2 linked regions of the Macaca mulatta genome follow. The protein of the gene in region 2 purifies or fractionates together with the protein of the main gene of each other region. This does not show direct contact. Links are inferred from orthologs where the notes say so. Each region holds a gene or a part of one and is shown on either strand. Other genes may lie near its edges. The genes, in order: MAPK9 and DUSP10.

Evidence for each region.
Region 1: the proteins of DUSP10 (region 2) and MAPK9 purify together in Homo sapiens (affinity purification with mass spectrometry; 3 studies listed by BioGRID and IntAct, with this or other methods). This does not show direct contact. The link is inferred for Macaca mulatta from reciprocal best matches to the Homo sapiens genes DUSP10 and MAPK9.

The regions. Positions count from the first base shown.
Region 1 is NC_133411.1:189,246,337-189,262,288, forward strand, and holds the end of MAPK9 (mitogen-activated protein kinase 9), read right to left. Parts: intron 15,781-15,952; coding exon 15,709-15,780; intron 10,981-15,708; coding exon 10,798-10,980; intron 9,034-10,797; coding exon 8,909-9,033; intron 7,912-8,908; coding exon 7,848-7,911; intron 6,259-7,847; coding exon 6,187-6,258; coding exon of another isoform or gene 6,182-6,186; intron 4,545-6,181; coding exon of another isoform or gene 4,540-4,544; coding exon 4,397-4,539; 3' UTR 1,637-4,396; downstream 1-1,636. UniProt on the Homo sapiens protein: Serine/threonine-protein kinase involved in various processes such as cell proliferation, differentiation, migration, transformation and programmed cell death.
Region 2 is NC_133406.1:79,617,546-79,634,098, forward strand, and holds the start of DUSP10 (dual specificity protein phosphatase 10), read right to left. Parts: upstream 10,540-16,553; 5' UTR 10,446-10,539; intron 8,254-10,445; 5' UTR 8,211-8,253; coding exon 7,400-8,210; intron 1-7,399. UniProt on the Homo sapiens protein: Protein phosphatase involved in the inactivation of MAP kinases. Has a specificity for the MAPK11/MAPK12/MAPK13/MAPK14 subfamily. It preferably dephosphorylates p38.

The sequences.
Region 1 (15,952 bases), on a different chromosome or scaffold from region 2:
AAGGAGGGAGGGAGGGAAGGAAGGAAGGAGGGAGGGAGGGAGGGAAGGACGGAAGGAGGGAGGGAGGGAAGGACGGAAGGAGGGAGGGAGGGAGGGAGGGAAGGAAGGAGGGAGGGAGGGAAGGAAGGAAGGAGGGAGGGAGGGAGGGAAGGAAGGAAGGAGGGAGGGAGGGAGGGAGGGAGGGAAGGAAGGAAGAAGGAAGGAAGAAAAAGAAAGGAAGAAAGGAAAAGAAAGAAAAGGAAAAGAAAGGAAAAGAAAAGAAAAGAAAGGGGCTATTCACATGGTATCCACTGGGGTCCAGGGCTCCTCTGAAAGCTTGGCAAAAATTCTGTGCTTATGGCGTTTTTCTTGGGAGAAGGTAACAGATGTCAGCAGATTCTCAAAAGTGTTTATGACTAAAAGAGGAGAGTGAGATTTGCAAGAACGCGCTGCCCACGGGGTCAGGGCAGACCCACCGCTCCTTCTTGGTGCTGTGAGGTGCCCTTCTTTCTCGGGCGTAAGGCTTTCTCACTGTTGTAGGGTGGGGGGTTAGACAGAATGATTCTGGATTTCCCTTCCAACTCTAAACACCATGGAGGAGAACTGAGGCAGCAAACACTCGTGCTCACAGTGACCCTCGGGAACCACGGCCTTGGTCGTTCTAACTGCAGAAGAGCATGTGGTCTCCAGGCCTTGAGGACTCAGCCTGTGACCAGCTCCCAAGGGCTGAGACATGCATCTCCCTTATATAATGGCTACGTTCAGCTGCAAGCAGATGTGACTGACCACTCTGTCACTGTTATTACTGATTTTGTTACCAATTTTCCTGATTAAAACAATATCGAAGAACTGCCTTATTGACAAAGGTAACCACCTTATGCTTAAATTCACATAAGTAGCCACAGAATCTTCCAGATAACGCAAGTAGCTAATTATGACGTTATTTTGAAATACGGGCACTCTCCTTCCTCCCTGAAAAGCCCCACCCCACCTACGTGTATTACTTCAGTCGATAAATAAAAAGCATTTCAGTGCTGCCTACAGTGAAAGAGGGAAGAGGGAACAGGACAGAGAAATGGAACCCAGACCCAGACCCCAGTATCTCAAGAAACAGCTTCCTTCTCGCGAGACCTTTACAAACACAGCTGACACGCATCTCTCTGGAATGATTCTAGTCCTTTTAAGCAGACAAAGGAAATTGAGCCACTGAGTGTCCTTCTCCTCCTGTGGTATTAAGTACTGAAGCCTAAAGTGCTTCAAAAACACACGTCAGATGAACTTGGCTCATCCCTTGCAAAGCCACAAGCACCATGAACGACGTTAAGTCATACGACTAAGGCTGACTGGCGGATTCTCCTGGCCACGCCTCATGAGAAAACAATTACACCAATACTCTGAACCGTGCTTGTGTATTGGTGACGTCAAAACTTACCGCCATTAGTTTTGAAAACACAGATTTAGGAGTTTGCAGAATATTTTCAATAAGAGAACAAACAGCAATGTTTCTGCCTTTCATGTGAAACCTCTTGCTAATATTGATCAAAAGCATGATGCTTTATCATCTATCTGTTTCATGTTAAATCTGTCATCAGAGATGGTGATGGAGAAATTATCTAATTGTCATTTAAAAACACACAAAAATTGGACATGCTATACATTTATCTTTTAAAATGTAGTCTGTATTATTTTCACCAACCAAAACACACATAATATATTTTATTATAAAACATTAGGCAATGTTACTTTTGAGATATGCAATCCGAAAGGTCACATTTGTATTTATTACCAGAAGAGTTACATTAGAAATCAACCAGACAGACTCGTACGTCGTTATCGTGACTTACACAGCATGAAATGCGGGTTGAAGCAGCACCCACTTAGTGTTTTGGACACGGACCTGGTGTGGGCATTCCCCTCTCCGCACTGGGGCTCTGCGTCTCACATCTCAAAGACCAGAGCAGAGCCCTGTGTCCACTCCAGGCCCACGGCTGACACAGTGTGCACAGCCAGTGTTTCTAGACTCTCTCCTGCTCTGACAGAACTCGTTCTCCGGACTCTGCACTTGAAATTACAACCTGAACATGGGGGAGACAGTCATTTCCTTCTTGACTGAAAACCAAGTCAACAAATGAAACAAACCTAGTCTAAATTCCAGGATAATAATAAATTACCTGGTTTATAAAAATACATGTCCAAAATAGTTACTTCCCGGGTTGTGTACAATATAAATTACAAAAATAAAATAGAAAAGATGAAAAGTTGAGCACATTTTTCAGTTCTTTAACCAACACCAGCATTTTTCCATAGAGATCAGTGTGAAACCATGTGTGTGGCACCAAGACCCTGGCAAATCTAGGCTCAGGAGGGAGAGCCCTGAAGCTGGGAGAGGTATTTCTGTGGAGCCCTGTGGCCTGTCCTGGGCACACTCGCCTCTACCTGGTGGAAGACGGCCTTTCCAGGAAACCCTCCGCGCCGTCCGGGCTCCATCTGTGGCAAGTGGCTCGCAGAGTCACAGCCGAGCGAGCGAGCAGAAGGGCACCTGCGGGGGCCTCGTCCCTGTCCACGTCTCCCGAGGAGGGAGCATCACACAGTGCGGGGCAACTCGTGCATTTTCAACCTCTCCCTTTTGTTTTTCCTTTTAAAGATAGATTTAGTGAAGTCTTTTAAAAGAATGTGTATTACAGAGAAGATAGATAAGACAGCCATACAATAGGTATTTCTGCCTCAATCCAAGTTATTATTACCATTTTGTATTTGAAAGTGTCTAAATGACAATATAAAAGAACTATTTCTTATTTCAATATTAGTTTTGCTAATCAAGGGTTCCAGTTTCCAGTGATTCGACCAACCGACAGGACATAACGGGTGCAGAGAGAGCCATGCACTTTAGATCATATCTAGAACCCACTTTCTCATCACAGTTCCTCCTCAGAACACAGTCTAAAGAATGTTGACTGAAAAGCTTCCAAAATAATTGAACACAAGATATGAATCAGCAAGAAAATAAGCTCAAGGGAAAAACACGGGCACAGGCAGCAAAATGTGATCGTCATAGCTCCGTTTCTGCAGTGACACTTAACACACTCGGTATCTGAATGAGTTCTGAATCATTTACTTATCGGAAAGTCTCAAAGTATCAATTTCAGGTGAGCAGTTTTAAATCAGAAAATATTCAATGGTTAATCATTACTCTTTAAGTATTTCCTTCATATCCTCTGAAGAGTTTCCCAGAACATTCACGGGTTTCCCTTGTGAAAAGGAATGCCCCCAAACAATGGAAAGCAATAGCAAAAAACAGGCATCTGAATCAGCCTGGCCTCTGAAAACAGACCAAAGAGGAATTTATCCGCTTTCTTCCAGTGAAGAAAGAAAATCAAGAACATGGTATTGGCAGAGGGAAAGTGAATGAGGGAAGGTAAGTAAAGGACCCAGGTCAGTCTCTGGCAAAGGAAGCACTGAGGGAATGACTGCAGTGGTCTCTAGGGACCATTCTGTAAGATTCTACTCCAGCGTTAGGCCATGGATGCAGGAATCTATCTGCCATCATCTTATTAAGAGGGAGTGTTACACGCCTAACAAAGAAGGTGAAGTTCTAGGTAGAATTTTAAATTCATAGTAAGTCTAGAAGACTAAGAAGAAAGAGATAAGGTAGCTAGGATTTCAAGCAGCACTAAGCAAAACTTAAAATTTTATCGTGCAGTAAAGCTGAATGTACAATCATCCCAGACAAGACAGTTTAAAGAAAACAAGATGTCCACATGAGTGTCTTGGTTTTAGCCGTGATAATTCTCAGCCCCAAACATCACAAATTTAAGAAAAGCTATATATTTTTATTTATTAAATAGATTTAATTAATATGTCTTCTGAAATACAAAAGATAGAATAAATCATAGCACAAAAGGGAATAAGATATGATAACATCATGACGGCCAATTAATACACATAAATCAACCTTTTCTGGACAGACACCAAATTACTTAAGAAGATTAAGAGATAACTTCAGAAGCAGCACTACCTGGGAGATTATTTGGCATTTAAATACTGATTTCCAAAGTGCTAGATGGGCAAGTCCAAGCAAGCATCTGTGGTCACATGCACACACCTCTCAACAGTTACGGATGATGAGAAACTGTCACTATTACAGCTTGAAACAACCTCACCTACTCTAACTGCTCACCTGAAATGATCTTGAACAAAATCTCTACAAGTGTGGCTTGCACTTTTTTTCTTCAGACATATTCTGCCTCATTTTATCATCTAAGCAGGCAATCCTATTAGATCTGAGTAGGGGCAAGGCATTGTGTTTCGTACATGCAGAACATGGAGTTTTCTATTTGGTTCCATCAACTCCCAAGCATTTCAGGCCCATGGAGGTGAGAGTTCCTTCAATGATGACAGGTTTGCTATTTCTAACTTATCATCGACAACCTTCAAGGGGTCCCGTCGAGGCATCAAGACTGCTGTCTGTGTCTGAGGCCAGTGTCTGCTCAGTGGACATGGATGAAATGTCATTGATAGATGAAGACTGAGAAGGAGTGGCGTTGCTACTTACTGCTGCATCTGTGCTAAGAAAACCAAATATAATAAAATCTGAGGCACGACATTGCTGCAAATCCAGGCAACGAGACTTCAGGCCATTTCTCGGCTCTGTCCTTTTGCAGTTTCCCAACCCTAACTATGAGCATAAACAAGAAGTTAGTCAGCTGGACTTTCTGAACTTTTCCTTGAGTCTTTCTTTGGGCCCAGAGTCCCATATTCCTATGTCTTTCCTTGCAAGATTCTTCTTTTCTTCTCAGTGGCTAAACATATATGTGGCCATGTATAATCATGTTAGCTACTTAAAAAATAACCGCTGCTTTCAAGCAGACATCAAAAGGAAACAGCTATATTTATCTGAAAATGCAGTATCACAAAAGCTTAAGCCTGAATTGAATTCAAGTGTCACCAGACATTTGAATTATAACAATTTATAACATAAACACTAAATCTACAGAAAAGAAAGCATCAACATTCAAATAAATCTTTTGCAATAAAGACTATATACTAGAAAAAGGAAAAAAATTAGTGGCCTCGTATTTTTTATTGTTTTGTACCTCCAGAAAACTGACATTTTAATCTTTTAAAGCAAATGAAACTATTCTACTTCCTACTATCTATATTTTAGTCTGGTGTGAATAAAAATACAACATGCAGACTCTCTGAGATCGACGTCTGCAGTCATAAATTCGTGCTTAGTTAACAAGCACTTAAGTTCTTGCTGAAGTTATATAATCTCTAGATGCTTGACACATACGTCATGTTGAATATAAAATTCAAGAATAAAAAGTAAGCTGTGCTCTCTGCACATCCCCACGCGTGTGTGCTTTCCAGTGGGAGTGGGAGAGAGACAATAAATATAACTTGAGCGTTTCATTTAGTAAACGGGAAGAATCCTGCAGACGTAAGTGAATACCACTAATATCAGAGTCTCTCATAATCGTACAACCACCCGGTCAGCAGGCTTCCACCACTATCAAGATCGGCAGATCAAGTAGAAAAATGGGAGAATGATATGAACAATTTTCTCAAGAGAAAACCAAATTCCATTTTACTTAGATTGGCATTTTGGGTGGGTTATCAACGTTGAAAAGGCTTTAAATTCCATTTCATCTGTAAATGGACGTGACAGCAATCGTTGCAAAGATGAAAGAGAAATGTTTATAAGGAAGTTCAGTGCCTGGCACATCAGTAAAATGCCATCCACCACCCCCTTCACTATGACAAGCCAAAAAGGGTGGCTATTCATACAGTGGTTTTTAAATCTGATGCTAGCCAGGCTGGCGTTTCAAACATGCTGCTGCCATTTATAAAAGATGAATAGGGAAAGAGGCCAGGTGCAGTGGCTCACGCCTGTAATCCCACCACTTTGGGAGGCTGAAGCGGGCGGATCACGAGGTCAGGAGATCAAGACCAGCTTGGTCAATACAGTGAAACCCCGTTTCTACTAAAAATACAAAAATTAGCCGGGCGTGGTGGCACGTGCCTGTAATCCCAGCTACTTGGGAGGCTGAGGCAGGAGAATCACTTGAACCCAGGAGGTGGAGGTTGCAGTGAGCAGAGATCATTCCACTGTACTCCAGCCTGGGTGACAGAGTGAGACTGTCTCAAAAAAGAAAAGCTGAATAAGGTAAGAAAAATATCATACAATCAATTAAAACAATCACTAACCTGAAGGCTGATCTTTTACAACACCATTCTTGCTTCTTTCTTCCCAATCCATGACTTCTTTGTAAATTAGCTCTTTAATAAAAATACAAGTTAAAATGCTTAATCAGTTTCTAAACAGTTTCATTGTATCTCTAAACTCTGCTTCCAAATCAACTGGAACCACTCCAAAGGCACTCCGATGTGTTATTTTTAATTGTAAGATAAGAGTCAATTCAGTAATATAGTCTAAGTGGACCAAAATATTCATGTTTTGATACATTATATCTTTTCTTTTCTTTCTTTCTTTGGGTTTTTTTTTTTTTTTTTTTTTTTTTTTTCTGAGACAGTTTCATGCTGTCATCCAGGCTGGAGTGCAGTGGCACAGTCTTGGCTCACTGCAACCGCTACCTCCTGGATGCCTCAGCCATCCAAGTGGCTGGGATTACAGGTGTTCACCACCATGCCTGGCTAATTTTTATAGTTTTTGTAGAGATGGGGTTTCGCTACGTTGGCTAGGCTTGTCTTGAATTCCTGGCCTCAAGCCGTCTGCCCGCCTGGGCCTCCCACAGTGCTGGGATCACGGGTGTGAGCCACTGCGCCTGGACTACATCCCATCTTTTCCATGCAGCAGTAAGGGAGCAAAACGTGGGGTGGTTCTGGACCCACAAGGGGCTGTATGAAGTGGACTGGCTCCCACAGAACACTGTAAGGGACTGGATACTCTCACATCCATTTCAATATGCTTCTCTACGTAGTTACTTGGGGTTTTCCAAAGGTAGCCGGCATCCACATGTGGGCTAGGAACCCCCGACACTGGCCAGAAATGAATCCACACGCCTAAGTCTTTTCCTTGTTTCAACTTCAACTTTCATTTGTAAGAAAAACTAATTACCTACTAAGTAAGTGATTAGGGATTCCTAAAATGTCAGTATTCATAAACCAGCACTAGCGCGTTGCAACCATTTCCGGAGGCCAGTGAGTGTGCTGTGAGCATGCACTGCTGAGCTCACACAGGCAACCGGCACTCCAGGAGGGCCCCGGGGCAGGACCCACCCTCAGTGCTGACTCACTCTGACTGTGGTTCTCAGTTACTACTGATGCCGCTTCTTAATGAAGAACTGTCAGGCCGACCTCTTCATTATAGGTGCAGTTTGTTGTGGGTGGTCTGGTTAATCTTACAGTGGTAATAATACCTATTTGCATATTTTCAATCTGCAGTTTCCCCCAAACTAGATTTTAAAACGTATGTACAACTACACGGCTTAAAAAAAGCAGGCAGAAGTTCACATGACCCCCAGCCCTGGCTCCCCATATCTGCACACACTGGGAATTCTATAGGTAACATGCAGCCTGTGAACTGGTGTCACCTGAAATTTGCAACATGTTATCAATGTAAGTGTGATGCAATTACTAAGCTCAGTTTACAAACCGATATGTGAAAAGCCATGAAAAAAATGCTATTTTTCCCTCTTGAAGCAAATGATAAGAAATTGATACATGTTCCTCTCTAACTCTGTTCTCTTCAAGTCCTTTTTCTACTGGAAACTGGGGAGAAAGAGGCTAAGTGGGTCGCAGCATTTCTTGCCCCTTCCTGAAGGGAAATGTCACAAAATGAAAAGCCTCTGCTTTACAGGACTGGAAGAAATGTCCTAAGGAAGGATCAAAATAAGCTCCATCTTTACCTTTCCATTCTTCAATTGCATGTTCTCTTTCTTCCAACTGGGCATCATAAATCTGAGGTGGTGGCTAAAAATTAAATCATATGTAAAGTCAATAGTAATGCCTCAAAAAAAATGAGGCACTAAAAAAGGTAAAATCGCTTGGAAGACTTCTAGTCTATTTATGATATGGATTTAGTTTAATTCAACACATGGTTTAATAAAGATTTGTCATGCAATATTGGATCAGCTTTGGGATCAAAATAATTATGAAAAAGTTAACCAAAAAAGAGTTACTATGTTCCTCTTAATAATCACCTGACCTCAAAACACAGACATCTGCCCATCACAGGCTGTTTCCCGAGACCCATCATGGACAAGGCATTGTGCAGGCAGCTATGGAAGGTACTGCTGTTTCTTAGAACAAATTTTACATGTTCTTCATGTGAGAACTCCCAAACCCAAAGTCCAACTCATAAATGGACTGTTACAAAAGTCTGCTTATAAATTGGATTCTTTTTATATAAAACAACGTTTAAACTGATGGCAAAACCACAGGCCATGCCATAAACATGTGTGTCACTCATGGCACGAAGGAAGCCCGCCACTACGCAGTGATCTCCCTCACAGCTAAAGCTCACTCACACCAGCGCTGACACAGAAACACGCACGTGAGCACCGAACTCAGAGTGGAGCTCCTCCAGCGGGAGAGCCAGGAGGCACAAGGCCTTTAGGGAAGGATACACAGACGTGTGATTTTTCAGCAAGCTGCTCAGCCTCTCTGGTTGAGTGGCCTAAACAAGAGGATGTAACCAAAGCCAATGGCACAGAACAGATGCTTAATAAACTATGAGCTCACAGCAGCCTTTGCAAAATGGAGACTGGTATCACCAAAGCGTAAGTTCATTCCTGAGGTCCTCCGAGCAAAGCGGCCCAGGCCTCAGACAGCACTTGGCCTTTTTGTAACTGGGAGCCCCAGATGGAGAACTTGCTACCCATATGTAGCCGCTCTGGACGAGCAGACAAGATCCAAGGAAATACAAGCCCGGCCTCCACATACAAGTCTTTTCAAAACAGATACTCACTGCCTCTGCTTCGGCCGGGTCATACCAGACAGTGATGTACGGGTGACGCAGAGCTTCGTCTACAGAGATCCGCTTGTCAGGATCAATCACTAGCATTTTCGATAACAGATCTCTGGCTTGACTGGCTAGGGTGACAACAAAGATTAGATTAATACACTAATGCTTTTAATATGAAACAAAGAGAATCATACAATAAAGAACTAAATACGACAGCACAGACAGAACAAAGATGTATTAATTTTGAGAAACGTTTGATAGGTTCAAGATGAATATAACACAAATTTTTTTTTTTTTTTTTTTGAGACAGAGTCTCGCTCTGTCGCCCAGGCTGGAGTGCAGTGGCGCAATCTCGGCTCACTGCAAGCTCCGCCTCCCGGGTTCACACCATTCTCCTGCCTCAGCCTCCCGAGTAGCTGGGACTACAGGCGCCCGCCACCCCGCCCGGCTAATTTTTTGTATTTTTTTAGTAGAGATGGGGTTTCACTATGTTAGCCAGGATGGTCTCGATCTCTTGACCTCATGATCTGCCTGCCTCGGCCTCCCAAAGTGCTGGGATTACAGGCATGAGCCACCGCGCCTGGCCATAACCCAAACATTTTTAAGAAAAAGTCAGATGGCCACTTTCATGACAAACCAGGTTTCCAAATGTGGTTTTACGCCTCTGGATCTGCGAGGGGAAGAGAAACCTGGGCCCCCAGGGTGGTGGGGAAGAGCACCAGGCAGCCTCAGACCAATGTCTGGGCAGGGCCCAAGGCTGGGAAACCACAGCAAGGAAGGTGGCAATTGCCGAGCTGCGGGTGGCACTGCCCAGGGTGTGGGCATGAGGCACGGGGGAGTATTTTTCTCTAAGTCACATCAAAATGAAATTAGAACAGACTTTTTAAACCGTGCAACAATCTCACATTCCCACAGGATGAAACACTCACAGATGCTTCTGGCTGGCCTAGCTGTATACAGTGCTGGCAACTTACAGTTTTTTTTTTTTTTTTTTAATCTACAGATTGGTATTTAGAAAAAAAAAAAACAAAAACAAGTTCAATAACTTAGTTAAATATAAGGATCACCTAGGTTTTGGCAATTGAAGTTCACAACCTGAGTAAGCACAGGAATGACTGAGGGTTTTCTGATTAAGGCACAGTTTACCTTAATTTTTTTTTTTTTTTATTGAGACGGAGTCTCGCTCTGTTGCCCAGGCTGGAGTGCAGTGGCGTAATCTCGACTCACTGCAAGCTCCGCCTCCCGGGTTCAGGCCATTCTCCTGCCTCAGCCTCCCGAGTAGCTGGGACTACAGGCGCCGCCACCACGCCCGGCTAATTTTTTGTCTTTTTAGTAGAGACGGGGTTTCACCGGGTTCGCCAGGATGGTCTCGATCTCCTGACCTCGTGATCCGCCCGCCTCGGCCTCCCAAAGTGCTGGGATTACAGGCGTGAGCCACCGCGCCCGGCCCAGTTTACCTTAATCTTAATGTGGACAGAAGAAAATCTCTTCTTTCTCCTTAAGCAATCACACCGTAGTAAAGGCTGCAGGAGGAGGTGGGGAGGACCTTTTCTACCGAGTGACTGTCACATGGCTCCGACTCTAGAATCTGCATTCAAGGGTTCTTTTCACCTGAAAACTTTGTGAATTCCAGTTGCTGTAACTGTAACAAGATTCTTTCAGACTGATTTGATGATTTTTATTTTGGCCAAAGGCTTCAATTAAGCCATGTTATGGAGGATAAAGCTTCCAGACCTTTAAGCTTTCTCTCCTCAGTGCCTTCATACCTCAGACTTCTGGCCTAAAATGACTTTCTCTCCCAAAACTCACAGGTTTTTAGAATACAAACATGAAAGACTGAAAGCGCCACCTGAATTACAAAACACAAGTCTAAGAAAAAAAGGGTATCTTACTTTTTATTTTGTCTCGCTCAGACTCTGATGGGAATATCCAGTCTGGAAAGAGTTCTTCGAATTTGATTCCAGGATACTTTGGTCTGTTTTCTACATAATTCCTCACAGTCGGCTGCAGTTTCTTCATGAACTCTGCTGATGGTGTTCCAAGCTGCTCAATAACTTTATTCCACTGATCAATATCTAAGGAGTCTCTTGAGGAAAATACAACTGGAGTGCCTCGTATTCACAGCACATGCAGCAGCGTTTGACTCATCTTTACACCTATCGGCTAGGCCACCCCACCGGATCAGCAGCAGAATTTCCAAATAATATTCAAATAAGGTTTGGGTTTCCAAGTTACACTATTTTTAAAAACTCTTCCACTCTGCATCTTCATAAACTATGACACAGCTTATTAAATCAACACAATGAAGTCTACACACCTGCCCACTCTAGTTCAAAATAAAGTTGATCTTTTAACTAAGAATACCTATGGCAAAAATGATTAAACATGAAACTAGATAAACATTACATCAGCAAATTGAAATCAGTTTTCATACTAATGCTACCTTAGATTCATTCACAGCTCTCTGAAGAACAGAGGATCTCGAGGGACCTGTGAGAGACCTGTCTGACCTCCTCACTTTACAGCCGGGGAACCAACCAACTGGGCTTAGACTGAGCCCACTGACAGCTTTCAAACGATACTCTGCTTTACTTGGAATTGACTCTTCCCAACCATCACTGCCAATACCGAGGTAATGCATTTTATTTCCTTTCAAAGTGCATGACCTGGGTTTCAGACTCAACTCTGCATTCAACACTCACAGTGTGTCAGGAAAGTCAAGCTTCCTTAGGGGTCCATTTCCTTCTTTGCTCAATGCAGACATTACCAGCTTTGCCTGTTCCACAGGGTGCTTGTTAGGCTTGGGATAATTAGGATTACATGTGGGAAAGTGATACTGGAACCGTACTCAACTATACAAGAGAATGCAAGCGAGAAAAAAACAGCATCAACAGCAGCTTCAAAAAGTGCTCACTGAGGCATGTCTTAGAAAAATGAACTTACATGACCATGAAATAACCTAGGGAACCGGTACATGAACTCAGTTCTTCCAAAATGTTATACTTCCAAAGACCTGCTCAGGAAATGGGTTTCTGGCCTTCAATTCACTAGCAAATTCTCCTTCTTACTCCTGTTTCATACATGTTGTCAAATCAGAATTATGTCCACATTTTATTTACCTATTTAGCCAAAATGTGAAAACTGTTCTCACACTTTTTCCTTCTGCCATATATAATACACACACACACACACACACACACATACACATACATATATATATATATAGTCTCGTTCTGTTGCCCAGGCTGGAGTGCAGTAGCACGATCTCGGCTCACTGCAACCTCCACCTCCCGGGCTCCAGTGATTCTCCTGCCTCAGCCTCCCAAGTAGCTGGGACTACAGGCACCTGCCATCACGACCGGCTAATTTTTGTATTTTTAGCAGAGATGGGGTTTTGCCATGTTGGCCAGGCTGGTCTTGAACTCCTGGCCTCAAGTGATCTGCCTGCCTCGGCCTCCCAAAGTGCTGGGATTATATAGGTGTTAGCCACCGCGCCTGGCCCGCCTTATACTTTTGATACCTCTTCTGTATGCTCACTCCCACAGACTCCCCAGGATGCACCCACCCAGCATCTGTGTGCCATTTGCCACACAGCAACCAACTGGGCTCCCGGCTACACCTAGCCTGCCCAGCTCTAGACTAACCCTCGTGCTTACCCAAGGAAGAGCTCCCTCAACTCTTCCTTCTCCAACATCATCAACGTTTTACACTCTACCAGTACATTCCATCACGTTGGTAACTGACAGTGTTTTCTCCTGTGTTAACATAGTAGCTGCCTGCTTTTGGCCCCCACTACCTATTGCTCTATCTTATTCCTATTTGCAGCAAAACTTCCATAAAGAGCTGTCGGTCGGGCGTGGTGGGTCACACCTGTAATCCCAGCACTTGGGGAAGCCAAGGCAGGTGGATCACAAGGTCAGGAGTTCAAGACCAGCTGGGCCAAGACGGTGAAACCCCAGCCCTACTAAAAATACAAAAATTAGCTGGGCGTAGTGGCGGGCACCTGTAATCCCAGCTACTCGGGAGGCTGAGGTAGAGAATTGCTTGAACCCAGGTGGTGGAGGCTGCAGTGAGCCGAGATCACACCACTGCCCTCCAGCTTGGACAACGGAGTGAGACTCTGTCTCCAAAAAAAAAAAAAAAAAGAGCTGCCTATACTTGTGTCTCTAATTCCCAGCCTCTCATTTTCTCTCAAACATACTCCCATCAGGCTTTCTTCCCTCCACTCCATAAATGCTGTGCCCATCATGGCTGCCAGCAGCCATCACGAAGCCCAGTGGCCAGTCCTCTGTCCTCATCTCATGTGAATGACCCTCCCTCTGTCACCACGCTCTAGGAGGAGGGGTCGCTGGAGTGCCTTCTCCATTTCCTTCCCTATTCCCTTTGTCCCTCCACCTCAATGGGGCTAAGTCCTGGGTCCTGGTCTCTTCCTCCCCTGCAAGCGCTTGCTACCAGTCCTAGGCTTCAAGGCTACCAACAGATGGATGACACCCACTTTGATCTCTCTATCCCAGACCTTGCCCCTGAATTCCACTGTCTAACAGACATCTCCAAACCCTAGCAAGGCTCCTTGAAGGGTCCAACTTCAAAGCAGAGTACAAGCCCATCTCCCTGGCCGCACCCTCCCAGCCTGCGGGGGGCCTCCACCTCCATCTCCCCGGCCGCACCCTCCCAGCCTGCTGGGGGCCTCCGCCTCTCCTCTGGATGATGGCAGCCTCTGCTCTGGTCTCCTGCTCTGCCCTGCCCTTGATGATCCAGCCTCAATTTAGCAGCTGGGAGGAGCCTCTTTGCATCTAAGTCAGACTAGGCACCCAGAAATGGGCAGGTGAGAGAAATATCTGCTGGATTAATGATAAAGGACTAGAAATTAAACCAGTTGTGGGAGAAGCCCCACAGATTCCCTGAGAGGCCTGCACCCCAGCATCCCACAGATGGGAGGGACAGGGGACAGATGGGAGGGCTGGGGGAAGGGGAACAGTAATTCCAGCAAGCTCAGTGGACCCTGTTGTCTAATTTTCGTGAAGCTGCAGGCAGACTGCAGGTCTCCTATTTTACAGAAGGGGAAACCAAGGCTCAGAGAGGCCCTAAATTTCTCAAGAATGCTTGGCTGCCGAGGGGAGGAGTCTGAGCTGGAGCCCGAGGTAGCCTGGCGAAAGCTTTCTCTTTCTCATAGGTCACCACAGGGACAGGAGTTCCTTTTCTACCCCAGGTCACACATTAAAGCAAATCTCTGAGACCCTCAGTCTGATTTCTGCAACTTTTTTCTATCTCCCAAATTTCAATCTAATACTTGAAAGAGCTGGCAAAATTTTCTTTAGAAAAATGATGTTAAATTGTGTGTGACTTTTGGGAATAACAAGGTAACCTTATAGATAACACCATTAATTACTGACATTAATATTAATATGTAAAGCAGGAATTTTAAGTTACTTACTAAAATGCACCAAAAAGTACTCACATTTTTCATTTTTGTACTTTTTGAAGAAAACATTTCTTAATAAAACAAGGAATGGCACAAAATGAATAAGAATTGAGACAAACTGAACATTAAGTATATATTTCTAAATTATTAGTCTCTTAATTCCTCAACTTTCCCTTTTTAATTAAGTTCACTTGCAAAATAAAGACTTCCTTATTTATAGGTTGAAACAAGTGAATCTGAGGTAAGGCTATAGAAACTGCTAGAAAATTTACTAGAACAAATAAAATATTTAACTTGACATATAATCTATGATACAGAAAATGTAAAGAAAAGTAAATAAAATGAGAGGAATAAAAATATTTTCATTTCAAGTTTGCATTGTGAAGAATTTATGTTATAAGGAGACCACTCTGATGAACTTATTAAAATCTGAAATTTTCTTCCTAAGATACACACAAAACACTGACCACAGAGCTCGCTTTCCTTAAAAGCAGCCATCAATCTGCCCAAGGATGGAGACCAATTTCAACTTTTGTAACGAAAACAAAGCCAAAGACTAATGAAAAACTAAGTGGTTAAAACACAAATGAAAAAGGGAAGATGTGAAGAACCATGTTAGGGTAAAAAATACTAAGGATGGAAGAATGGCAAATGAGGAAAGAAGGCTATCGTAACAATTAGTTATTCTCCTTTCTGCTGTATATCTAACACGACTTGCTGACTACAGTATGAGTTTATCTCTTTCATTTTACATGTATTTTGACTTCCCCAGTGTGTCACAAAATAACCCACCAGATTTTTTTTTAAATTCTACAAAATGTCAGCACAGTAACAAACAAGAAAGTTTAACATATTGTTCCTCACAAAATTTTCATTTTAATCTCTTTCACTTAGGTCTTTTATAATGTGCTTCAGTTCTTACTTTGGGGGAAAATATTTCAATGCATACCAGTAACTAACAAAATAGTACTTAATTAAAGCACACAAGTACATGAGTCTATTAAATTTAGATAGCATCTTTCCTAGTTAAATGGGATAAACTAAATAATACAGTATTTTCATTTAAATATCAGAATATACTTATCAAAGAGTAAATAATTTCTTCTATATGTCCAGCTATTTTTGGTAAAATTAAGCTAATATAATTGATTTAACTTAACTCTAACTCTCAAAATCATCACAGGTAATCAAGTTAAAAATAAAGAATAAAATTGAACCACTTGGTTTGTGACGCTAATTAACAAATATAGTCAAGCCCCCCTTAGAACACAGTCTGGCGTGGTTACGACATTGTCCTCGTGAGCGCCCGTGTAAGCAGGTGGTCATGCTGCCTGAGGCATTATGGAAAGCATGGCGGGGCCAAGGTCGCGGGGAAGGATACGGTCAGTGCCTTGGAATATCACACAACCTTTCACCAGCTCTCCCATGATGCAACCCACTGACCAGATATCAACTGAAAATAAAATGAAATGATAAAATTATGAAGTGTCATGAACAAAACAAAGGTGAGGAAAAGGAATTCTAACAGTGCACTAAACACACAAATATGGAAAAATAAATTGCTAGCTAAGGGTGAAATTTTACACAATATGAATGATTGCTGACCTCTAGTTTAGCCTTCAGTT
Region 2 (16,553 bases):
CTTTTTTTCTTTTTTTTTTTTTGATATGGAGTCTCGCTCCGTTGCCAGGTTGGAGTGCAGTGGCACAATCTCGGCTCACTGCAACCTCCACCTCCCAGGTTCAAGCAATTCTCCTGCCTCAGCCTCCCAAGTAGCTGGGACTACAGGCACGCACTACCACACCCAGATAATTTTTGTATTTTTAGTACAGACAGGGTTTCACCATGTTGGCCAGGATGGTCTCGATCTCTTGACCTCGTGATCCATCTGCCTTGACCTCCCAAAGTGCTGGGATTACAGGCGTGAGCCACCACGCCCAGCTGGCTATTTCTTAAAAAAGGAAAAGGAAAAAAAAAGTACAAACATGTGCCTCACAGAACAAAATTTCCTGAAGATGAACACTCCCTAAATAAGATTGTGTGATGGAAGAGGATGAAGAATACAAACATGAACATGATTTTCAAGACGGAAAGGATCTGGAAGCCTGGTCCCATCCATATATGTTGTCTTTCTTGTATTTGAATAAGCATTGTGATGCAAATTCCCCAGCCTGCGGATTAGTGCCTAGCACACCAAAGGCATTCAACAATATTTATTGAACAAACAAATGAATCTCCTCTACCCACAAGTTTGTACATCTGTGGAGACCACCTACCAAAAAGTCCCTAGAAGCCTAAGATGGTTGGGCTTCTTTGATACCTGTTTCGAAATCAGTTTTGATAGCTGTTAACAGCTTAAACCACTAGATTAACAGCTTAAACCACTAGGTTCCCTAGATGAAGAGATTAAATCAACATTAATATTTGGTCCATATTATAATATCCAGGTAAATATATAGACCATGAACTGCTGGTTTTGAAAGTCCTCAGACTTCGGTCTTTTTAGTTCTGAATTGAAATCTCAAAATTCAAGAAAAAAGGCATCAGTACTAAAAAATGTTAATTATCTTATATTTTATGCTATATATTAGATTATGCTGTTATTAAATAATAATACATACAAATACATCAATCTGTTGATATCTGTTGAATCTATTGAACCTGGCAAGACCTACTTTAACATTAAGGACCAAATCTCCAAAATTAAGGTCATGCATGTGACAGGTCATAAACTGCTCCAGGCCCCTTTCCTGTAGTGGCATAGTGAGAATACTGGACTAGATCAATGGTTCTCAAACTTTGCTGCCTGTTAGAATCACTTCGGGAGCTTTAAAAAAATCTTGATGTGCAGGCTGCACCCCAGACCAATTTAATCAGGCTTTCTGGATGCAGGAACTGGGCATCACAGGTTATAAATCACCTTCAGGTGATACCAACGAACAGCCTGCAGTGAAAACTACTGGATTAGGGGCCCTCTAAAGTTCCTTGCTCTTCTCAAAGCTGGGATTCTTTGATTCCGCAAAGGTGAGATGACCTCTCCTGGAACTAGAATTTCTCTGCTTAGTATGTAGTCTATCTTTTTCAACCAACTTGGATTAAATTGCCTAAGCACTCCAATATATCACACATTCATGCCCAAACTGCTCTTCAGCAATGCTGGGGCTTGGAGGTTCTGGCTTCTGATAATGCTGGGTTTAAGGAGCTAGATTTTGCTACTGGTCAAAAGCTCCCACCTAGTCCCTGAGGGTGTATGCACCAGGAATATGTGACGGAAAGTTTTTCTGCTCTTGTAATTTTGTCAGACTTCCAGATGGGTTTGCCCAAAGAACCAAGTAGGAAAGTGTACATATTCACCATTCTCCCTTCTGCTTTCTCCCATACACACGTTTTGAAAACAGAATTAGGCAAAGTGCTTTACCTATTCAGTTTCCTTCCCCTGCTTTGCTTTTTCTAATCTGAAATAATATCTACTATTGCCAGGAGAAGAGTTTCTTGAACTTGTCCATGACAAGCTGAATGTTCTGAATTGGTAAGGGCAAGAGTATTCATACTTAACATGCTCCCACAGTACTGTGCTTAGAATGACTTGCCCATCCTCCCCAACACCCCCGGCCCCTGAAATGTAAGCGGTTCTTACATTAGGGCATGAGAGTAGGAGAGCAGGGTCCAGAGGCTTGATTTATTGAGGGCCATCAAATGCCAGGTACTTTATGTCACCTCATTTCATCCTAGGATGCTGGAGCTGTCCCTGTTTTACAATGAAGAAAACTTGGCCCCTGAGAGATCCCCTGATTTGCCTAAAGGCATACAGTTGGTCAATGGAAATGCCTAGATTTGAACCCAGGTGTGAGTGAGCAAAATTTCACTCTGCTGAGCACATCGTGAATGAGGAACAGATGAAGCAAGAACACGGCTGGGAGAGAGAGTTCATTTCTATTATCTGTTCACCTACACTTAAATTAGGAAGCAGGAGAGTGTACCTGAAAGCTCAGAGAGAGGACAGCCAACTAACAGTGTAGCAGTTCAGAAAGAGGTTTCAGGACTTCTTGAAAGACAGGAGCAGGCCATTCAACTCCTTCCCTCCTTTTTCCTTCACATTCCAACCCTTCACAACCCCAGGCTCAGGAACCAGCTCACCCCTCCTTCTATCTACCCTTTTATAGTCAGTCCACAATCCTTATTCCAAAAATAAATCTTCCTGATGAGATGATGAGAAGTAACAAAAAGCAAAGCTAGAAAGTTTTATACTTTTGTTATGGGACTTTAGTTGGACAGATTATGTTTTTACAAATTTTCCTAAAACAAATAATTATGGGATATACCAAATTACTCCAGCCTCCTGGCCCAGTATGTTTTTGCAATTACTTTGGCACTCCAACTCTATGCTACTTAAATTAGTTAACAGTCATTAAGTTATTTTTAGGCCATAGCAACACACACTCTACTATACCTAGCTTGTTGTTTGTACTCCTTAGGAGCAAAATTTGCCTTTTTACTGGCACTATCATTTCCTTTCAATCAATATCAACAACATTTTACCATATTTATGGAGTGCTTACCATGTATGTGTGTAAAGTTCTGAACACTTTGCACACATTAATTCATTTATTTCAGAAACTAACACTTTGAGACAGCGATTGTTATAATCTCTTTTTGTTAATGAGGTAACTAAGGAACTGAGGGATTCGGCAACTTGCCCAAGGGCACATACCTAGTAAGAGGGGAGCCAAGACTAGCATTCAGACTGACTAGATCCAAAGTTCTGCCTTGATTTCCCCATCATTTGCTACAAAGCTAATGTTTGACATTTTAGTCTTGGATGTTAACCAGAGGCACAGAATAACAGCAGCACGTTTGTGAATGCAGATATGTCTTTATTTCAGATACCTTTTTAAGAATCCTTATAACATCTCTGAGAGACAAAGGGAGACTTTTATTCCCTTCCCCATCCCCCAGAAAAGGCAGAAACAGAATATTTTTCACAGGGTCTCTGATTTCTGAGCCTAGCCATCCACTTTGTCATAGAACTCTACATTGCTAACAAGAGTATATTTCAGAATCCTTTTCAACTAGGGAAAAGTGTGCAATCTATGATGCTCAATTCTAAGAAGTGAAATTTTACAGTATAAAGGCCTAACTCACTGCATGGTCAAATCCACCCCATGGATCATCCTCTTAAACCATTTCCCTCTTCTTCTCTCATTCCCCAGTAAAGGCCTTTGGTACAGAGCAGTCCTATAAAGATTGTAGCAGTTGGTCATTATTTGTTTTACAATAGCATAGAGCAAGTACAGGCATGGGCTCTGACATAACAGGGGAGGAAGGGGGAGACACAGACCCCAAGGAGGCACCTGGAGCCCTCCCACTCCCAGGGATGGAAGCTCCTCTGTAGACCAGACTGCCGATCAGTCACAGAGGGATTCTAGGTTGAAAAGCACTTAAAAATGGGTACATGACACTCAAGTGTTTAGGAGTGAAAATGTTGTTCTTAGTATACTATATTTCTAGCTTTCTTGAATTGGAAACATTAAGTTTAAACATTAAACATACTTAAATACATTAAAACGTTATCTATATTTTTAAATATTTCAACAGAAAAGAGAAAGCAAATAGGAAAAATAAAATTGTTTAATCTGGTTGACAGGTATATGGGTGTTCATTACACACTTTTCTGCTTTTCTATATGCTTGAAAATGTTTATAATAACATTTTTGGAGGCATGTATTGTCTTTAAGAAAAAGGGGCAGTAGACTATTTTTTCCTACCTAAGTAAATGACAAATTATTTCTCTGGATCCAGCTTTACTAAAAAGAAAGGGAGCCCAAAAATCTTGATAGCAAAAACGATAGCTCTCATTATGGATGGTCTAGCTTTCTTATTTTTAAGAATTGTTTAAAATTGTTAAAAGAATTTTAAGAATAGTTTAGCTTTCTTATTCAGTTTGACTAGAAAGCAAGTTTTAGTTGATTAAAAATCAGCTTTGAGTAAAACAGAATATAATTCTTTCAAAGACCTCACAAATCCCTAAATATTTATTCATTTGGATCATTTTCACCAAGTTGAAGGGAAGCACAGGTCTGATGCCATTTATTCTTCAGAAGATGAGACTAAAACATGGATTCTAACATAGGTCACAACAGGGAGGGCACCGTAAATTAGAACAGTAACTTAATCCCAGGGGCTGCCATGCCTCTGATCGGTTTCTTCCCAGCCTGACACAGCATTACTAAAATGGCAAGTTAGCAGCCGCTCTACTTGACAGACAGCACCAAAAATGGAGAGCATGGCATGGAGACAGGGGGACAAGGAGCTTGGACAGGGAGGGTAGCAACCAATGTTTACAAACATAAACCAGAGCATCAGATGGGCCAGCCATAAATTACCCAAGATTGTACTGAAATCTCTGAAAATAAATTAACAGGCCCTTAGAAGTTTCCTCCTTATGTTCTAACTATGCCCCCTTCCCACCAGCTTCCCTACAAAAATTACTCTTTCCAAAATGGTACCACTACCCCTGTTGCTGAAATACAATCTTATCACCAAGGGAGGGGATTACTCAAATAAATCTGAGAGGAGAAGCCAGACCAGAATTGTTGCTTGACCCACTCAAGAATTTGGGAGAAGTCTGCTGGTCATGCCTTTGGGGAATGCCCACCCCGTCTTTCACCACAATGGTGCTATGGTATTAATCACTGGTTTACCAAGTTGAAAGGATTATGAAGGACATTCTAATACTGACCCATTCCTTTCCCTTCTTTTCCATCTTGGTCCCAATTTTAGGCCGTTCTCCCAAAAGATATCAAAATGACAATGATAATTATAAAGTAGAATATAGACCCCTTCACTCCTGAACTACATATTTTCAATGAAATTCCCAGATATTTGAAGAAAAGGCCCCCAAAACTACAAATAATCTAACCTCTACCACCAGAGCGTCTTCCAAGTCGACCAACGCGGTGTCTCACCAACTCAAAAATGACGAGGCCTCGCAGTGGCTGCCCAGGGCGCCCAGTGGTGAGGTCAGCAGTGTGTCCGGCCCCGCCCCATTGAGGCAATCTTACTCTCTGACACTGAAGAACAAGCCCAGGCTGTCTGGAATCTCAGCTGCATCCACAGGAAAGGGAGAGAGGCACCCCACTTCCACCAGTAGCACCCAGGAGATTCACTTTTCAGTGACTGATGGGTCACCCCTATCCACAACTTCACCCGCTGCAAAATAGAGAGTAGAGTCTGCAACTCCTTCTAATCATCCTCATGATTAGGTCTAGGTCTAGGGTCATGATTAGGAGGTCTAGGGTCATCTTGATCCGTGTTTTTTCCTCTCCTCAAATCATGCAGACACAAAAGACTTGCTTTTAATTGTGAACACCTGCTCTGCATGAGCAAAGAGGAGATCATCAAGATCATTAGCTATCCTCCTCTTTGCTCCCCAAGACAAACTATTACAAATGGGAAATTCCCAGGTAGGATTTTCTCATTTGTAAGAGGCCAGACACACCAAGATTATAGTAAGACAATAGCAGGGTAAATATCCTGGGAATCACTCAAAGTCAACCAAACAAGAATACAGAAACAATAAAATACAGAGCTACGCAGAGGAAATCTGAACATATTTGTGACCTCAAGAAAACCCACCACCACAACCACCACCACCACCAGGAAATGCCTAGAAGCTTCTGGAACTCTCTACATACAATTCCATCATGTTCTCCTTCCCAGCAAAGCCCACCAGCTCTAAGGACAGATGTGCCTTTGTGGTAGGGGAGCCCCATGAGGACAAGTTTGAGGAGAGTGGAGGTTGGGAAAAGGAGATTGTGTCAATGGAATTCAGAACTATAGTTCCCAGAACGCTGCTTAACAAAAGGCAGAATGCCTCACTGGGAAGACAAGAAGGAGAATGGCAAAGCTGTCCCGTAGAGACAAAATAACTAACTTGCTCACCCACATGGCCTATTGCAATTTAAACATGCAATGTGTTCAAACTCAGCAACACCTTTGGTCAACACACTTTAGGAGACTGGTTGGAGATGTGACCCAGAAACTGTGTACCTTGGCTCACAACACAAAAGGAGAGAAGAAGATGACTATCTCTCACTACCACCACCAGGTAAAAGATGCCGATTGAGAGTGATGTACGGTGCCCCAAAAGTCAGTATCTGAGGGCAAAGAGGTGCAACTAGGCTGGACACAGGATGCAGGCTACTTGGGAAGGTTAGGCAACACGGTATGGACGGTGCTCCAAGAAGACTGGGTGAATACTTCCTTCTGCTGGAGCTTAGTTCCACTAATCTCAGTTATTCTGCATTCAGTATACTGGGGCAAGTGACCCACTACTCCATCTTGGTAGGAGCCATGATGCCAACTGTTGTCAGGTGAGGCCAGAAAAAAACAATGGATTGGGGAGTGTTTCATAAAAACGTCTCTGTTCCCTTGGAGCCTTGGCAGAGGAATGGATGTAATTGGTGAACTTATACCTTATATGGAACCTTAGAATAAGAAGCTCTGCCCTTCTTCAAGGTCACTTTATAAACCATATAAAAGTCAAGCTGGTCAGAAAGGTGAAAAAGAGAAAGAATTTCCCACAAAAAGAACTGGTACCTGTAGGTTTACTTGTAGTTCACCATAGTTGCTCCTTCCTCTGTTCCATCAACATTGGTTAAGTCTGAGAGACAATAACTTTCCAACTAGTGATTGACTGGAATAGAGCTAGCAGACCAGGCATGACTTGAGATACCATCTGGTGTATATAAAGCCCCTTTTTAGAAAGATGAGAAAACAGTCCCAGAGAGGTGAAATGACTTGCACAATGCAAATTAGAAGCCGAATTAAGGGTAGAACCCAGATCTTCTGGCTTCCAGTTCAGTACTGCTGGGTTTTTCTTACTAAACCAACACAATAAAGAGCATAGAAGGGAAGACAAGAATAAAGTCTATTTTGGTCTTTGGTAGCCAGGGTAAGGAGAATGCTGTCACTTCTACGAGAAAACCCAAAGTGAACCCGGCTAATCAGGACTGTGCTTGGGAAGGGAGCAGGGGCATTACCTTTCAACACCAGAGGTTCTTTGCCTTCTCTCTTCAGGGACTCGAGGACTATGTGAAGTGGCTGGGAGGGCATCACTCGGCTTGGCTCATTGGTATTCTCATCATAAACTATAATTTCTTTGGAAAAGATCCTCTTGAAAGAGTCCTTGCCTTCCCTACAGGAAATCAAGTCTAGGACAGTGATCTTGCCCTGCTGCAGTCTCCGCCGGCTGATCTTATCGGCGCAGTTAATGTGGACAGCTCCTTGGATGTGACTCTTGTTGTACTCCATGAAGGGCCTGCAGTCAATGATGACAGGGCCCTGACTCGGCAGGTGACTCTTGTTGCATTTGGTCATCTTCTTTGCCAAGTCATTGGGGTAGATTATTTTGATGCTGGCTAGCTGCTTGGGGGTCCCTGACACAGGGCTGCCCACCCCACCTGATGGACTTAAAGAGCCTGTATTCTCATTATTGTTGACCATCTGGTTAGCAGGGCAGGTGGTAGAGGTTCCGATGGCAGTGGTGGTGGTGCCAGCAGCAATGGCTTGGGTTTGGGCCTGATTGTCCTTGTCGTAGGTTGCCACAGTGCAGCAGCTGGCACTGCTGCATCCACAATTCAGGGAGCGGGCAGAGCCGCTGGATGAGGGCATATACGTCAGATTCGCAGCCTTGAGGGACACAACGGTGGTGGCGATGACAGAAGGGTGGCTGTTACTGCCTGGGGTGGCAGAACCAAGGTAGCTAGAGTCTAAACAAAGGTTGAGATCCTGAGGTCGGACGGGCCTAGATAGTGCCACTACTACCCTGTCGTCTAAAGGAGATGGAGGCATGAGGAGGCTGAAAACTGGCAATTCAAGAAGAACTCAAGACAGTCTGTAAAGAACGGGAAGGGAGAAAGAAAGGATAAAGTCACGTGACACAAAAGGCAGTCTCATCCAATCCCTAGGAAAGGCCTTTGCATCCCTCTGAGCAGTCTTCCTAATTGCCCTCTATCATACCATAATCAAAACTTGAAACTCATTTTTATGTATTCAAAGAGGATGCAAACCTGAGGGCCCCAATCAATTTGGTTGCTAAATCTAAGGTTAAATTTGGATGTAAAGTTGTAAATGTTAATGAATATTTCCTGGACCTACATAAAAGTTCAGCTGTAGAAAAGGTATAAGCACAAATAATTAGAAAAGCTGAAGACAGAAGGGAGGCTCTTAAGAGGCATCTATTCTGAACCTCAGCTCTTGCGCAGAAGTACACTGCAAACATCTGAGAAAGACCCATTTGTCCACCCTTGCATGCTTGCCAGTTAATTCCCTCACTCGCTGCAAAGGCAAAGGGGCAACCAAGAGCACTGGCATGGTTCACAGAAATGTACAGCAGCTAAATATACATCAGAGTGGATGTCAACTTTCTGCAAATCCCCTTAAGTGAATCTCTTTAACTTGGAGCTATTCTTGCCTTCCATCCTATTGGGGTCCTTTGAAACGCACAACATAGTCATATTAAAACCTCACATGTTGTCTTTTGGCCTCTTATAAATTAATCTGCATTTCCCCTTTTCACTACTAACTGGTGTCCTAAAACGAAATCTCAAGCCATGGAGCCAGATCTGGAAACCTGGAAACCCCAACCCTGGCAGATCCATCACCCTTTGCTCTCCCACCTACCCCTACCCTCATTCCTGCCTGGAAAGGACAACTTGAGCTCACCTCCCCTCTTCATCTCCCTGGCTGGCACAGACTGTGCATCCCAGAGCTTCTCTCAATGGGAGGCAGCCACGTTGTATAAGGTTCCAATCCCATACAGATATCCCCCCTTCAAGAGTACCGACTCCATAAAGAGGACCTCCCAATTAGCCTGTACCCGCTGAAAGGGGCAGTGAATTGTTGCCCACTGGATCTATCTCTGATTTCAAATATTGTCTGCAAAAAGACGGCTCCTTCCTCTTGTAGGCACAGGGACACTCTACAACCCAGGCTTGCTAACTGTTCTTCTTCTATTAGACATGCACACAGCAAAGACACCAAACCCCACGCCAAGAGTCGCTCACCTAAACGAACTTTAAGAGCTGTCTGGAAAAATATCATCATCCGTCTACACACGACCGTCACCATTCTCATCCGTCTACACACGACCGTCACCATTCTCTGACACAGAACCAAAGTGTCACAGGCGGAATCCACACTCACGCGCGCACACGGGGGCATGCACCCATCACGTCGGCAGATCTCCAACGACTCGGGTTTCTCTCACCCACCTTTGGATGGGAGCGAAGAAGCCAACCCCCTTCCCTTGCGTAGTATTTTTTTCTGAAGAGCGAGTACTATTCCAGAAGCTATAACTGTTTCCCGGTTGGACCAAGCGCTGAAAAAGTCTTCGCTATGGTGTTACCTGGTAGGACACGTCCAGGATCAACAGACCATTTATTTTGAGAGGGACGCATAAGCGTGTTCACAGAGACACACGCTGGGACCCACACCTCCACACAGAGTGCGCGGCTCACACACGCACGCACGGAGTGTATAGAGAGATCTGCATCCCTGCAGTAGAGGGTCGGGCGTATATACTGCCCGTGAAACCATTCAGTCTGGCCCAGAAAATCTCCCGGAGAAATACTGAGCTATCCCCTCTCCTTCCACCACTAGGCAAGAGCTGGAGAGAAAATTAAGTGGTTAGAGAATGCTTCTTCCCCACTCCTGGAGCACTTAACATCCCCCCGTCCCTCCGCCACCCCCCTTCACTCCTCGGCACACAGCGCACTAATGAACCCCGGGCATTTAAAACTGCCGCAAAGCATCCCAACAAACCTCATTTTTTCTTCGCCCCAAATCCAAGTAGACTGCAGAGAGAGTAAATGCACAGGGTAGCAGGAGCCAACAGCCGGAACCTTATAACCCTACCTGCTGTAGCTCCTCCGTCAGCATCGCATCTCTCTTTTTCTGTCTGTCTCTGTTTCTCACACACATACACACACACACACAAACACACACACTCACACTCACGCAAGCACCGCCTTACAATCCTCCACCTCCAGTCCCGGGCTCTCAGTAGTCGCGGTGACTTCCACTTACTTCATAAATAAGTGTAGTCCTCCACCATCTGGCGCTCCGCTTCAGCTATGGACTCTCACATTCAACCCCCATTCACTTGGCTTCATTGATCTCCAGCAGCAACATAGTTACTTTCTCTTTTGCTACACTGTAAATGTAAGGTTCTGAGGGGGCGGACTCGTCACCGACCGACGGCGCGTTGGACCAATAAGAATCCGGACAAAGCCGACCGCTACCTCACAAAGCCCCGCGACCAATGGGCAGCCTAGGGGGCGGGGAAGAAGGCGTGGCCTCATCTCTCTAAGGAGGGTTTATCCGACGCTGCTCTGGGTCCTCGGTGTTATAACACGGGCGGTGATGTCATTGGCAACCAATCAAAAACTTAAAAAGAGCCAGCCGGGGCCGCGCTGAGCAGCTGCTCTCTATTTACTTGTAAACCGAACCGGCAGGATGCAGTTAACCCTTTACCAGGCTGAAGCGTCAGCGGACTGGACGCGCCGCTCCGCTAAAACTGGCTCTTCCCACTGGACGGGATCCTCCAACACTCCCTCACCCGGGGGCAAACCACGCTGTTTTTCCTCCTTAATATGGACGGATGATCAAAAGTGTCGGAGTAACTTTCTAAAGGAAAGAGACTGCGATCACCGTCCCTAGTGGGAAAGCCAGGTTCTCTCCGCGTCGCTCGAGGTGACTTGACAAACCCTAAGCCAAAACTCGCGGACCTCGCCGGGTCTTCTGCGCTAGGACCAACGTGAGCGCGCAGGCAGGGGCGACGCTTCCGCTCCGAGCCGAGGTCCGGGGCCACGCGCTTGGGGCCAGAGCTTGGCAGCTGACAGTACCGGACAGGGAGGCCCTTCAGCCTCGACGCGGCCCGCGTCCTCCGGACAGCCCTGCTCCGCCCGGGAAGCGTCCGCCTCCCGCCGGCCCGCAGATGTCGCTGCCCCTCCGGCTGTCCCGGCCTGACCGCCGCGCGCCGCCCTCCTGCTCACCTACTTCCGCGCCCTGGTCACGCCCCTGTCGTCCCCAGACTAACTCTCCCGGGGCTCGACCCGGAGCACTAAGGCGGCGCCACTGAGGGCTGCTAGGAGGAAGAGGCCTGAGTCGACGCCAGAGGCAAGGGACGCGCCCTGAGCAGCGGTGCAGAGGCCAATCCCCTGGCCGGGCGTCCTGGGGCCCGCTACGCGCCCGCCGCCCCTCCGGGGCTTGGTCCCCCCCGCCACCTCCCCCTTTCCCACCTGGCGCGCTGGGTCCCCGCGCCGTGCCAGCCGCGCGCAGCCCACCCGCCCCACATGCCTCGGCCGACCCTCCCCCCCCCAGTCCCTCACGGCCCCTGCCGAGGCCAGGACTGCCAGCCCGGCGCTTCTGGAACAGCCGCAGCTGGGCGGAAAAGAGCCAGAGCCGAGTGCAAATAGCTAGATTGAATGGGGCCGGAGGAGCGTGGAGGAGGCGACGCCGCCTCTCCTGGCTCCCCTAACTTTGGCCGGCACCAGGTAGCTGGCCATAGCGCGCATCCCGGGAGACGACTGGGGGGCGGGGCAAGCCGCCCCGCGCCTAGTCCGGAGAATATTCGTGTTAGGGAAACTGCAGGAAAGTTGCCTTGGGATACAAAAAGAAGTGGAGATGAACAACCCCAGATGAACTGTGGAGAGTCTACGTCCAAGAACCCTAAAGAAGTAGAGCTTTTTCTTTTCTTATCTGTGAGAGGAGAGATAAAAAGTGAAATAATTATAATGGAATAATACATTATGAGCACTAGGGAATGTTGGGCTATCATTTTTCTCCCTTACTTGATTGAATGGGGTTTGGAGGTCTACTTCAGACTCCAGGCCTAATAGTATACTAAGTAGCAGGGGCATATTCATGTAATTGTTTTCAGGGCAGATCTGAAATCACCAGGTGTCAGACCCTAGCTGGCAGGTCAGCTATGCTCAATGAGCTGTGAAGAGAAATATCTTTGGGCGCTTCCACTTACATGCAGGCACATACCCCCCCAGTCCAGCTTTTCACACCAGTGTTACAACTGGCATCACGTACATCTGATAGTCTTATATAGGAGAGGATTTTCTGTAACATCTGTCGATGGAAAGAGTCAAACTCTGTAAAATATTTGAAGAGATTTATTCTGAGCCAAATATGAGTAACTACGGCCTGTGACACAGCCCTCAGGAGGTCCTCAGAACGTGCTCAAGGTGGTTGGCGTCCAGCTTGGTTTTATACATTTTAGGGAAGTATGAGACATCAATCAAATACATTTAAGAAATACATTGGTTTGGTCCAGAAAGGCTGGATAACTCTAAGGAGGGGGTGGGCTTTCTGGCTATACGTAAATTTAAACATTTTCTGGTTGACAGTTGGTTGAGTTTGTCTAAAGACTTGATATTAAAGAAAGGAATGACTGGGTTAAGATAAGAGCTTGTGGGGACCAAAGTTTTATTATGCGGATGAAGTCTCCAGGCAGCAGGTTCAGAGAGAATAGGTTGTAAAATGTTTCTTTCAGACTTAAAGTCCATGTTGATATATAATGGGGCGCATCCCACCCTCACTTCCCCTCATGGCCTGGACCAGTCTTTCAGAATAAATTTTCCAAGAGTCCTGGTTCAGAAATTAGTCCATTCAGATGGTTGCCTGGGAAGGGGGGTGAGGAGCTTAGAATTTTATTTTTGGTTTACACCTCTCTTCATCCACACACCAACACACACATCCATTCATGCTCCTGATAACAGCAGATTGCTTAGGGCACACCATTTGGTTCTTAAATGTTTGAAGATCAACAGGTTATGGTCAGGAAACTTGGATGCTGGGTAATTTCTATACAAATCAGAAAAGAACTTCCCAGAGGTTCTACCCTTGATATATCTGGAGCTGAAAGGCTGCAAGCTTACCTTTCCCTAATCGTAGACAATTATTGGAAAATTTTTCATTAACTCAGAGTTTGAGAGTTCTACGTTCTGATTCTGACTCTATCTGTTATATCTGTTCATCCAGTCTCTGTCTTCATTTATCCATAAAATGGTAATACCCCAACTTAGAAGAAAAAGGGAACTCATTCAAGTGCTTAGGGGGAAAAAAGATCCCTTGCTGATAAAAGGTATTCAGTGGAAAAAAAAATTAATTTACTTGCTTTAGGAAATAAGGTGCCTATCTTTAAAGGTATGTGTAATCTATAAATGATGAAGTAATTGCTACTGCCTTGATATCTAAGCCCAAAGTATAGATTTATATAATTGCAGAAGAGCTCTTAACAGCTTTTCCCACAAGGCCCTAAAAAGAAAAGTAATTTCAAAAAGAAAGGCAACTCTTGTAATGAGATGATTGTTTTATTACAGTTTCAAACTAGTAGATTATTATAATTTAGTTGACTAAGAATCTAAGCCATCCAGGCTGAAACATTGGGAAAGATGGCAAAATTCCTTATCATGTATCACACCTGAAACATGAATAATTACTGAAACATGGAATAATTAACAGATTGTGAATATAAGCAAAGCTGTAGTTATTTTTTAAGTTAGGCTTCTCTAAGCTTATATTCAAGTCATAAGACTGGTGAACAAAATCAGATTATAGATGGAATTTTTTTCCATTCACTACTCTTCAAAACATCTTTTGGACAAGAAGAGGTGATTTTGTTCCTGTTTTTGAGTCATAAATGTGAAAATACTACACCGAAATATACTGCCCTGAGACTTAAATTCATAATGCTAGTCAGCCAATGGCTACAAACCTGATCTGTATGTCAATAACCAGCAGCAGAGCCTTAATGTTAGTTTCAGTCCCAAAGAAACAGTGAAGCATCTTCGTTCAATTTGGATGTTGTAACGTGATTGTATTGAGTCATATCTTTGTTCCCACAAACATCATAAGAAAAATATTGACTGTTTCAGTGCAAAGTGCTGTGTATTAAAGACAAAAACTGAAGATAACTTAGGCCAACATGTAAGATATAATATGGATAGTATTAAGCAAATGTATTAATTAAATTACTTCTTTTTTGTGCACTCAAATGGTTAAGTGTGTGGGGTAATGACAGAAGGTGTGGCCTTCAAAATAATCCTCAAGGTCAAGGTAGATTTCTGGAGGTACTAGAATTAAGGCAAAGAATGGCTTGGAGAAAACTTAAAAAATAATCCAGGCTAAAGATGATATCATACTAGAAGGAGTAGGGAATAAGCTGAAGAATAGGAAAGTGGCATGGTAAGTGTTTGAGGTCATTGAGGCCAGTCTGGCAAAACATCCAACAATACTCTCCAGTCCTAGGGAAGGGCTGATTAAAAGGAGTCCCTGAAGGAAGGAGCTTCTGTGGTTTGAATGTGTTCCCCGAAAATTATATGTTGAAACCTAATTGCCAGTGTGACAGTATTAAGAGGTGAGGCCTTTAGGAGGTGGTTAACTCGTGAGGGCAGAGGCCTCATGGAAGGGATTAGGGCCATTACACAAGGGCTTCAGGGAGTGAGTGAGTTTTCTTCCATTCCCCTGTAGGGACACAACTTTCATCCTCTCTGGAGGACACAGCAACAAGGTGCTATCTTGAAAGCAGAGACTGGACCCTCACCAGGCAGTGAACCTGCAGGTGGCACCTTGATCTTGGACTTCCCAGCCTCCAGAACTCATGTGAGCAATAAATTTCTGTTCCTTACAACTTCCCCAGTCTCAGCTATTTTGTTATAGCAGCACAACTGGACTAAGACAGTGGCTACTGCAATGATGGAAACAGAGGCAGGGCCATGTGCTTGTCCCACTATCCACATGTTTGGACACAAGAGGCCTGCAGTTCTTTCCTACAAAATTCATGGGCAGGTGTGTTTGTGACTCAGGAAAAGACTCTGAGGCATTTAAGGCTCTATATCTGTATTTTCCAGTGTGGTGGTCATTTGACACATGTGTTGGCCACTCGAAGTGTGCCTAGTCTGAATTGAGGTGTGCCATAAGCTTAAAATACAAGTGGGGGCAATAGAAATGGGGGCAGAGGTGAACTGATAGAGCCTCTGTGACCACAATCTTGTTCTCCACACCTCCACACTTGACAGATGTAGATATAGGTATGGATAGATGTATGTCTTATTTGTGGGGTTCTGAAGTAAAATTTCAGTTAAAGGAAGGATCCTGGTTGGGATTTTTTTGTTGTGGTGGTTCTGGTTTTTTTGTTTGTTTGATTTTTGTTTTTTTGTTTTTGAGATGGAGTCTTGCTCTGCCACCCAGGCTGGAGTGCAGTGGCACAGTCTTGGCTCACTGCAACCCACGCCTCCCAAGATCAAGCGATTCTCCTGCTTCAGCCTCCTGAGTAGCTGGGACTACAGGCACACACTACCATGCCTGGCTAATTTTTGTACTTTTAGTAGGGATGGGGTTTCACCATGTTGGTCAGGCTAGTCTCAAACTCCTGACCCCATGATCCACCCACCTCCACCTCAGCCTCCCAAAGTGCTGGGATTATAGGCGTGAACCACCACGCCCATCCTCTGTTTTGTTTTTTAATCCTGTTCCTTTTTTTTTTTTTGTAAAGTAATTTCACTGGATGGCATGGCCAAAGCATGGGTGACCTCAGACCCCTTTTCAAGGTTCATCCTGGCCTCTACTGATCACACAGAGGTGACTGGCTGGTTAGGAGAATTAATATGCTCCCTATCTTCATTTAGGCAAGTGGATCCCTTTCAGTTTTCTCTTCCGCTTCACTGGTCCCCTATTTGTAACCCCACAAACATCTGCTGCTCTTTCTCAGAAGAGGATTCTGCCTCAGCCCAAGTGTGTGGACCATGGATGTAAACTTATTTTCTTTATAACACACATAAAACATTCACTGGCCTTGGGTCTCCAACAATGCCCTCCTCAGTGGCGGATGGCCTGTTATTATTATGTGTTGCTACATCAAAGTCTGTTAACATTTTCCTCCTCACTAAACTGAGCCATCATGTTTTATCATTACGATATGCTGTCAGCGCCAGTTTCTCAACCCCAGGAGGCTGGGTCTGACTGTGTTACTGAGGGATGAAAAGTTATAAGGTAAACATGCACGCAAAGCATTCCTAAACCCCCTCAAGAGTTGTTTCAGGTCTAACACTAAGGAATTAATCTAACGTTCTCAGCATCTCCTAGTAGGTTCACACTGTACCACTTCTACATGTAAGAAGTTCC